2 linked regions of the Arabidopsis thaliana genome follow. The protein of the gene in region 1 interacts with the protein of each later gene in a pairwise test. Each region holds a gene or a part of one and is shown in the gene's direction. Other genes may lie near its edges. The genes, in order: DEL1 and AT3G11100.

What was found.
Region 2: the proteins of DEL1 (region 1) and AT3G11100 interact in binary tests that used the Arabidopsis thaliana proteins (3 or more experiments, as listed by UniProt).

The regions. Positions count from the first base shown.
Region 1 is NC_003074.8:17,781,336-17,786,974, forward strand, and holds DEL1 (DP-E2F-like 1), read left to right. Parts: upstream 1-1,995; 5' UTR 1,996-2,305; coding exon 2,306-2,439; intron 2,440-2,516; coding exon 2,517-2,584; intron 2,585-2,673; coding exon 2,674-2,726; intron 2,727-2,810; coding exon 2,811-2,888; intron 2,889-2,998; coding exon 2,999-3,052; intron 3,053-3,143; coding exon 3,144-3,255; intron 3,256-3,417; coding exon 3,418-3,485; intron 3,486-3,576; coding exon 3,577-3,652; intron 3,653-3,759; coding exon 3,760-3,821; intron 3,822-3,918; coding exon 3,919-4,324; coding exon of another isoform or gene 4,325-4,353; exon of another isoform or gene 4,354-4,387; intron 4,388-4,410; coding exon 4,411-4,511; 3' UTR 4,512-4,825; downstream 4,826-5,639. Other genes in the region: APC8 (anaphase-promoting complex subunit 8), read right to left, coding at 369-681, 1,145-1,230; ALDH10A9 (aldehyde dehydrogenase 10A9), read right to left, coding at 4,955-5,045, 5,195-5,301, 5,401-5,461, 5,549-5,639. UniProt on the Arabidopsis thaliana protein: Inhibitor of E2F-dependent activation of gene expression. Binds specifically the E2 recognition site without interacting with DP proteins and prevents transcription activation by E2F/DP heterodimers.
Region 2 is NC_003074.8:3,475,499-3,479,948, reverse strand, and holds AT3G11100 (sequence-specific DNA binding transcription factor), read left to right. Parts: upstream 1-2,048; 5' UTR 2,049-2,628; coding exon 2,629-3,364; intron 3,365-3,445; coding exon 3,446-3,459; 3' UTR 3,460-3,762; downstream 3,763-4,450. Other genes in the region: LBD21 (LOB domain-containing protein 21), read right to left, coding at 4,416-4,450.

The DNA.
Region 1 (5,639 bases):
CAAGCTCTCAGTAAGTAATTGCCATAAACGTTTACAGAATAGTCTTTAAACAGGACGAACAATTCCAATTAAGTTTCACTCATTTATTTACTTTTGTATATCAGTTGCATACCCTCATATCTCTTGTATCATAGAACATAACTGTGACTGGACATCAACAAAATTGTGAATCAGAGGCTCAGTCCTATAAGTTTGTAATAACGTCCATATATTGCATTTATTTGAAGGCAGCCTACTGGCCGAGGCTAAAAGAACACTCAAAAGCATTTTGGAGCCAACTTTTAAAAAGTTCATTCCATCACCCTATTCTGATAAGATATAAAAGCTCTAGCTAAATAGAAAATAGGAGATAGAGAAACAGAACATACCAGATAAAGCGCATAGTAACGCAAGAACAGTGATTTCTTGCTCACTTGGTCACGAAGCATATGGGAGGCCCGTCTATACTCTCGACAATCAAAATAGGACTTTGCTAAAAGGTAAATGTCACCATCAATCGCTTCATCTTCTTCCGGGAGAGGAGTAGCTGCTTGAGAGAAGCCAACGGAAGGTAACGGTGTTGAAATAGATTCATTGGTGCTGAACCTTCTCCGGATGCTAGAGCTTCCTCGCTGAAACCTCGTATTCGCAGGTGTAAAATTAGACGGGTCTTGCTCTATCCCCACAAGCTGCTCTCCTGCCCTGCAATGATGAAAGCAAAGGAGATATCAAATATGGAACTGACTAATAGTTCACCACCATTGAACTACAATACGAGTACTAAAAACTGAAACTTTAACTCATAATTCACAAATTAGTGTCGAGCTCAAACATATCGAAAGATTGAACCGGAGATCAGAAGTTCCCATCGAAAGAACACATTTTTTCAATTAGTGTCGAGCTCAAACATATCATAACACAAAACCCACATGTCGAATCATCTGAATTGGAATGTATCCAACACCAAATTCGCAACAAAAGTGAATTCGAATCAACGAATCTGCTTAACCAAATTTGTTTACAATTAGCCCAGGATACAAAAAAATTAGTAAAACCCATAAAGGATAGTGAAAAAATCGATTTTTAATCGAACCAGAGCAGTAGCGAGCTAGAGATTGCAACAATGGGAGAGGTTGAATAAGATTAGGGTTTTGAGAAAACGAACCACTTTGCGGCGGAGTATAAACAGCGGTCGCTAAGCTGTCGAATAGCCGCACGTATTTCGTTTCGGCAACACTCTTTAGAGACCATAGCAGAAGCAGAAACTGAGAGTTTAACTTTAAGTATTCAAAAAAGAATCGAAGAATCTCTTCTTCGTCGTGGAGAGAGATTTCAGAAACATTTGCTCCCTCCATCTTAATTATTTTGAAATTTACAGAGAGATCGTGTGTATTGGGCCCATTGATTAACTTTTGGGTTTCAAAATAGGCCCATGAAACTAACATACACACACACACAAAAACTCTTTACACAACTAATTTTAATATCATATCAATTTTGTCACTTTGTATTAATTTCTGTTAGGTATCAATGAATTATTGAAAAAGTGTAAAAATAAAATAAGAATGCAATTTTTTTTTTTTTGTTTTGTCAACAACTTTAAATTAATTGGTTTAGCTCAAATGAGTAAGACCAAAGGTATGCAAAACTATTATAGAAAAAAAAATCTTAGTTGGACAAAATAACCTTTTGTTTTGGTCAATAGAAATTTTTAATGGTAAGACTATAATTTAGTCAAAGATAGACCCTGATTTTGCTTATGCAAGTAGTTAAACACTATCATGAATCTACCATTTTAAGGGCATTACTCTTTACAAGATTACAAATCAAAAGATTTAATCTTTCCAAAACCAAACAAACCATACCAAACCAAAAACAAATTCAGACCAAATCACTTTTAAATCCTACAAAACCAAAATCCCCTTACAACTTTACTTTTTGAGTTCAAGTAAAAAGATAGATATCCAAAATAGATCTTGTTACTATAATATTGATTGAAAATGTATTATTTTGGTTAATGTAATCTAATTTTGGAAAAGAAAAATGAAAAAGTTGAACAGAATCCTGAAAATATTGTAAGAAATTTTCTAAACCGAAAAAACAAAAAGACAAAAACCAAAAAATTGCGATCTGAACCGAGCACAAAACCGTAAAGGTTTCAGCTTTACCAAAATTTAGAGGAGTGTGTAAATGTTACGGAGAAGGAGGAGCCAAAAAATTCAAATTGGCGCTCAAGTATCTTGGGAAATTCCCCCTCTCTCTTTTTAGGAAATCCCTCCAAAATACAATATCAAATTCTCAATCGCAGACATCGTTTGCGTCAACCATGTCAGATCTATCGCCAGAAAGATTCAAACTTGCCGTTACTTCTCCTTCTTCCATACCGGAATCTTCTTCGGCTTTACAATTACACCATTCCTATAGTCGCAAACAGAAATCTCTCGGACTTCTTTGTACCAAGTTAGTGCCTTTTTACTAAACCCATTTTATTTATTTGTTGTTGAATTTGTTCTGATTAGTGTTCTTCGTAAACTCAGTTTCTTAGCTTTGTATAATCGAGAAGGGATTGAAATGGTTGGGCTTGATGATGCTGCCTCGAAATTAGGTATTGCCCACTTTGTGTTTGTGATTTTTATTTTCATTTCTGATTTTACATCTTAATTTGTTGATTGGGGTTTTTGGGGTTTATTTCAGGAGTGGAGAGACGAAGAATCTATGATATTGTTAATGTTCTGGAGAGTGTTGGGGTGAGACTTGTTTCTCCACTACTTTGTTTTTTTTCAGAATCCAGAAGTGTTATGTTTGCTTAATTCGAGTTTTGTCTAATTTAGGTTTTAACAAGAAGAGCAAAGAATCAGTATACGTGGAAAGGGTTTTCCGCAATTCCAGGAGCATTGAAGGAGCTACAAGTGAGTCTTTTCATTTGTTTTGTATTCGGATTCAATCCCATTCAATCCCAATTGTGAAGAAATGTAGCGATTTGATTTGCATATTCTCATAGGAAGTGTTCTTGATGTAGGAAGAGGGGGTTAAGGACACTTTTCATCGTTTCTATGTCAATGAGAATGTTAAAGTAAGTCATTTGGATTTGGTTTCTTTTGATATACTTGTGTCTTTAGTTTGTTGTCTTCATACTTCTAATGCTTAAAGTTTCATACTTTCAGGGATCTGATGATGAGGATGATGATGAAGAGTCTTCTCAGCCTCACTCTAGTAGCCAGACTGATAGTTCAAAACCTGGTTCTCTTCCCCAATCTTCAGATCCCTCCAAAATAGGTACTGTTTCATTTTGTGCGTGTAGTACTTATTGTGTTCGGGTTTAGTGCCATTGCAAAGTAGTTAAGTGATTTACCCTCTTGGTAACTCTATATGTGGGATATGAATTATGAGATGCAATGTAGATATCCTAACATTTTGTTGGTTGGTTATGTATGACAGATAACCGACGAGAGAAATCTTTAGGATTGCTTACTCAGAACTTTATCAAACTCTTTATTTGCTCTGAAGTAAGTGAGAAGTTCAAAGATTCGTTTTTTGAACTAAAGAGTTATTCACTAAGTTACTAAAGATTTGTTTTTTATGTGTTCAACTGTTTAGGCTATTAGGATCATCTCCCTTGATGACGCTGCAAAATTACTGCTTGGTGATGCCCACAATACATCAATAATGCGAAGTAATTATCTTCGTCTTGTGACCTGAAAAGTCTTTTCTTTTATGTTAACATCCTCGGTTGAGACAAATCGATCTGTGTTTGTTGACACATTGATTACTTTTATGCAGCTAAAGTGAGGCGGCTTTATGATATAGCAAATGTCTTGTCGTCAATGAATCTCATAGAGAAGGTAAGTCAAAGTTATCAATAGCTACAACAGTTGTGAACCATCTATGATTTCAAGCTGTGATTTAAGTCTTACTAGTTTCTGTATTCTCTGGTGGCAGACTCACACCTTAGATTCTAGGAAACCAGCTTTCAAGTGGTTAGGGTACAATGGTGAGCCTACTTTCACACTGAGCAGCGATTTGTTGCAATTGGAGTCAAGAAAAAGAGCTTTCGGAACTGATATTACAAACGTCAATGTTAAGAGAAGCAAATCATCATCTTCGTCCCAAGAAAACGCTACAGAGAGAAGGCTAAAGATGAAAAAGCACTCAACACCAGAGAGTTCTTATAACAAAAGCTTTGATGTTCATGAATCAAGACATGGATCAAGAGGAGGTTACCATTTTGGACCTTTTGCACCAGGCACTGGTACATATCCAACTGCTGGTTTAGAGGATAACTCTAGGAGAGCTTTTGATGTTGAGAATCTGGATTCTGATTACCGTCCCTCTTACCAAAACCAAGGTGCATATATTTTATTCACATCCATTTGATATCAAACTTGTCAAAATATTGCTATGAAATTAACTCTGTTTCTGAACAAATTTCAGTTTTGAAAGACCTCTTTTCCCATTACATGGATGCTTGGAAGACATGGTTCAGCGAAGTCACCCAGGAGAATCCATTACCTAATACATCACAACACCGTTAGATCTTCTTTTTCTTCTTCTTCTTCTTCTTCTTCTTCTTCTTCTTCTTCTTCTCTTACCTGTGAACATCAATCATCATTCGTGTAGAGAGCTTCAAGAGTCATTTCTTTTGATCAATGTGGTTTAGTTTCTCCACACAATTGTAACTGCAAGAATCCGACATTAATTCACAGATCGCATACCCTCTTTGCTTTCTGAAGTTTACTGTAGGCTGTAACTTTTGTATGTTACATATAAGAGCATTCATCTTTCGCCAGTTTTTTGCTACTTTTGTATGGCATGTTGTTTTGAGAAAAACAAAAAGAAATATCATCTCATCTTATTTTTCATTTTTTTCAAGAATTTAAAGTAGCAATACCATTTCTCTTACAGAAGGGTCTCTTGCTTTATTGGTATATTCTCATGAGTACATGTTTTAAGGAAATATCAGGAACTAGTGTTTGTCTCAGAGCTTGGAAGGAGGTTTGTACCATCCCCATGGTTCATCAGAGATATACTGAGTCACCTGCTTCACACTCAAGTAGTTCTCAAGTCCCCTGCGACGAAGAAAATATGTTTCAATTCAAATTTTGTTGGTAATCTATTACGGTTTAAGTTACTATGGACACAATTCCATCTAGTTGGAGAGTGTCTTTTTCTAATGGTTTGATAATCTTAATACTTATAGCTAACGAAAGAGACTAACCATTCTCCCAATTCACGGCCAAATCCACTGCGTTTGGTTCCACCCCATGGAGCTTGGCAGAAGCATGGCTGAGAGCAGTTGACCCACACTATTCCCGCCTGGAAAGCCTGAAACACACAATGATTACGATTCATAAAACTTTAGAGATTAAGTTCAATCATGAGGTTATTGATTGTTATTGTTGATAGTAAAAGTTAGATACACACCTTACTAACACGATCACACCGCTCCAGATCATTTGATAATACTGCGCCTGCTAATCCATATCTGCAAATACAAATAAAGTCAGGCATATGATCTAACACGTCATCAGTGGAGTTCTACTTCAAGATAAGAAGAGAAATCTACACTCACTGAGAGTCATTTGCAAGCTGAATTGCCTCATCCTCGGTGGAGAATGTTTTCACACACAGAGCAGGACCAAAGACTTCCTCTCTCCAGATTT
Region 2 (4,450 bases), about 14 Mb from region 1:
TAATTCTGGCCGTTGATATATAGTATGTATAAAAACAGCGTCGTGATGTATATATATAGTATACTAGTGCTAATCTCAGTCACGTGATTGTATTTCCTTAAATAAAATAACAGAAAGAGAATATTAATTTGAGTTAAACAGCTTCCACAAGTAGTACAACTGTCTGTACAAGCAAGACTCAAGTTTGAAGGAAAGTGGGATTTTTTTTTGTTACTTTATATATTGTTTTAATTTGTCTTAATTAGTTTAGGAACAATAATAAAGACTATATTAGGCAACATGCACGTACGTTTGTGTGTTTTCGAGATCCCAATGGTAGCAACTGGCAAGTAGCAACATACTAAAATAAATAGCATTGTTTAATTATGCGTACAAACGAAATTGGCTACATTTTTAGTTGCTTCACCACCTATACTTGATCATGGATTAGCTCGATTACTTGGCTGCAGGATGTGATATTTGATATTATTGTAAAGTGATTTAAGAGTAACAATAATCGATTGCGTCTAAGATTCAGTTGACAAACTAAATTGTTTTACGTTCCAACTCACATCACTTTGATAACCTGTAAATCATGATTTATCTTTTCACATCTGCGTTTTCATAAGAAAGTTTGAAATGTATAAAAGATGCATGTAAACCAGTAAATGATGATAATGACATATTTAGTTTAGAAAACTATATGTAGTGATGTTAATATGGGCTAACCCACCCCAATTAAACCCATCCCATTTAAACCCACTCCATTTAACTTTAAACTCATATAAATCCATTTATTTTTGAAACCCATTTAACCCTACCCATTTAAATTTAGTAAATCCATGTGAACCCATTTAAACCAATTAAGTGAGATATTGCCTTTTATTAATTAATTCATAAACTTAATAGATAAATAACAACAGTCCATAAACATTAGCTAAATCTGAAATATTTATAATTTACTAAAATATAGATTTCAATAACATATAATGATAATAATATTTTCAAATTTGGCAAAAAATATTTTTTTTTGTGATTTTGGCGGGAAAACTTGATTTTACGGTTTTACGGGAAAATGTCGTTTACGGTTTTGGCGGAAATACGTGATTTTACGGTTTTGGCGGAAAACACTTTTTGTGATTTTGGCGGGAAAACGTGATTTTACGGTTTTGGCGGGAAAACGTGATTTTACGATTTTGGCGGGAAAACGTGATTTTACGATTTTGGCGGGTAAACGTGATTTTACGGGTTTGGCGAAAATACGTGATTTTCAATTTTGGTGGGAAAACGTCATTTTACAGTTTTGGCGGGAAAACGTGATTTTACGATTTTGGCGGAAAAACGTCGGTTTACGATTTTGGTGGGAAAATGTGATTTTCGATTTTGGTAAAAAACGTGATTTTGGTGGGAAAACGTAATTTTATGGGTTTTAGCGGAAAAACGTGATTTTACGTTTTGTTTTAAATATATTTAGTATTTTGCTCTTTATTTTAGTTATAATTAAGTTATCTACTTTTTAATAAAAATAACTAATATAAAATAAAACATAAATGGGTACCCATTTGTTTGTGGGTAAACCCATTTATTAAATAGGTTTAATTGGGGTAACCCATTTAACCCCATTTGATATTTTTCTCTAAATGGGTTTAAATGGGTTATTTTTTTTTGCACATACCCATTTAACAAATGGCTATTCAATGCCCAAGTTAACATCACTAACTATATGCTTATTTCTACTAGCTCTTCACCAAGACCATCGTGGAAACTTTGATCGACAGAAAAAACACCTCAGCTCTTTTTTCAAATATTTCAGCGACATTTTAGTAGTTATGAGGAAACAGTAGTAGTTAGGCATGGACTAACATATCAATTGGCGAGACAGCAAAAAGACAATTAGACAAGACACGGCACGAAACATACATTATAGACATAGAGTCTACGACCTAACACGTTTGCGATGCTCTCTCTTATTACCTAACAATTCGCCTGCTTACCTATTTCCTTAATTACATCCCACCATTTTTCACTTCCAAACTTCAATTTGTTACGGCGTAACGTAAATGATCTTGTTACTGGAATACACAAAACGTATAAATTTTCTTAATATTCTGATAACATTTCTTTCTTTCCAATTATGACTTTTAAAAACCACTACCAAAACTAATACAACCTCATATTTACTGTCTTTCCTAGAATACACAAAAATACACGTTATAAGATTTCCTATAATGACATGAACTGATGAGATTCTAGCCCTAATCGTTATTATCAATCAGTCTATGAGTTTAATAATGTAATCTTATCATCATTACCCGTAGAAACGCATTAAAAGAAGCTTGAAATTGACTATAACTAGTAGTAGCCTAGTTAGTAGGACTCTCAATTTATGATTAAACCGGTTTTCGATAACCGTTTTCGATAACCGGTTTTTCAGAAATGAGTGTGATTGATTCGGTTAGCAGAGGAAAAAGAGAGAGGTAGGAGAAAGAAGATAATCGCCGTTGCTGACGTCACCGCCGGTAATCAAAAATCTCTCCTTTAACCGTAATTTCTCTTTTAACTTTACCAAAAATCCGATCCAACAGAAATTCTTATCCTAAGCCTCTTTCTCCACCGCGCACGTTAGCCTCCTCTCTTTCCCACTCCGAGATGGAGACGACGCCGGAGACTCAGTCGAAGACTCACCGTCTACCGGCGGGAAGAGAGGATTGGTGGAGCGAAGACGCTACGGCGACATTGATCGAAGCTTGGGGAGATCGTTACGTCAATCTCAACCGGGGAAATCTCCGGCAAAACGATTGGAAAGAAGTCGCCGACGCCGTCAATTCAAGCCACGGGAATGGCCGGCCAAAGACCGATGTACAGTGCAAAAACCGGATCGATACGTTGAAGAAGAAGTACAAAACTGAAAAGGCGAAACCTTTATCGAATTGGTGCTTCTTTGATAGACTCGATTTCTTAATCGGTCCGGTTATGAAGAAATCGTCCGGTGCTGTTGTTAAATCGGCGTTGATGAACCCTAATTTGAATCCTACTGGATCTAAATCAACTGGTAGCTCTCTCGATGACGATGATGATGATGATGATGACGACGAAGAAGATGATGATGATGCGGGTGATTGGGGATTTGTGGTGAGGAAGCATCGTAAAGTTGAAGATGTAGATTCGAGTGAAGGATCAGCCTTTAGGGAGCTAGCGAGATCGATTCTGAAGTTAGGGGAAGCGTTTGAGAGAATCGAGGGGAAGAAGCAACAGATGATGATTGAATTGGAGAAACAGAGAATGGAAGTTGCAAAGGAGCTTGAGTTACAACGAATGAATATGTTGATGGAGATGCAATTGGAGCTTGAGAAATCTAAACTTGGGAAACGAAGAGCTGCTTCAGGTAAAGTTTTCATTTTTATGTGTGTTTTGTTGTGATTGATGAGTTTACTGAAACTTCAGTTGTGCTTTGTTTGTTGTATAGGTAAGAAGTTGTAGGATTGTAGATTGTGGAGGAGTTACTGATGTGAAGCAAGGAGCAATGGTTGGATCTAAAGCTCATACGATTTGGAGAAGATGTTATTATTATTGATCTTTAGGTTTTCTTAAGTTATAGCGCGATGCTTTTTTTCTTCTTCTTCTTTTTCATTCTCTTTTTTAGCATTGTAGAGTTACATTGGTAGTAGCAATGCGAATTACCAAAAGAACTCTCATAGTATCTGACATATCAAGATGTACTTTTGTGAAGTATCAATGTATGATGGTTTGTGTATCAGTGTCTGCAGTTCCAAATTGTGCTCATCTCTCTTTCTGTGATCTGCAATTACTCTTTTGCTTAGGCAGGTTTCAGGAATGTGTACAGACTTAACAAGATGCGTAGAACGGTTCTGAGGAGAACTCTTATCAGAGTCATTCATAATTCAGTTTGGAATTTGATCAAACCCACCAAGCTATTGATTTGGATGTTTGCTTATGTGACTTTGCTGCACTCTGGAATCTCCAGGACAAGACTCTTGTGGCCTGAGGGAGACGAGTTGACACATGAGGCTGTATTATTGGAGCCTCAAAAAAGAACATCATAGAAGCATATATATCAATGTTTCATGTTTGGTAGAATTTCGGGATGACATAAGCATGTGCTCTCCTATTCATACCTGACTTACAAAGAAGCTCTTCATCTAAAACACCTCACTTTACTCACCTTGGCCTACCACTTGGTCCAAAACTGGTAAGGACTCTGACCTTCCAAGGCTCATCTTGTACCTGAGTTATCTCATCGCATGTGATGGTTACTTTTGAAGTTAAAACCCTTTTTCATACATATGATGAAGTAAGCATCTGATTATGCATACTGGAATTCATACATTAGGGACAGACTTTAGATTGTCAAAGATAACTTGTAAAGCAAAGTGCAAATACAGCTGATAAAGAGATATATGATAGAGAGATAAGGCCTATACAAAAGGAGGCTGTCCAAGATCATACAAGT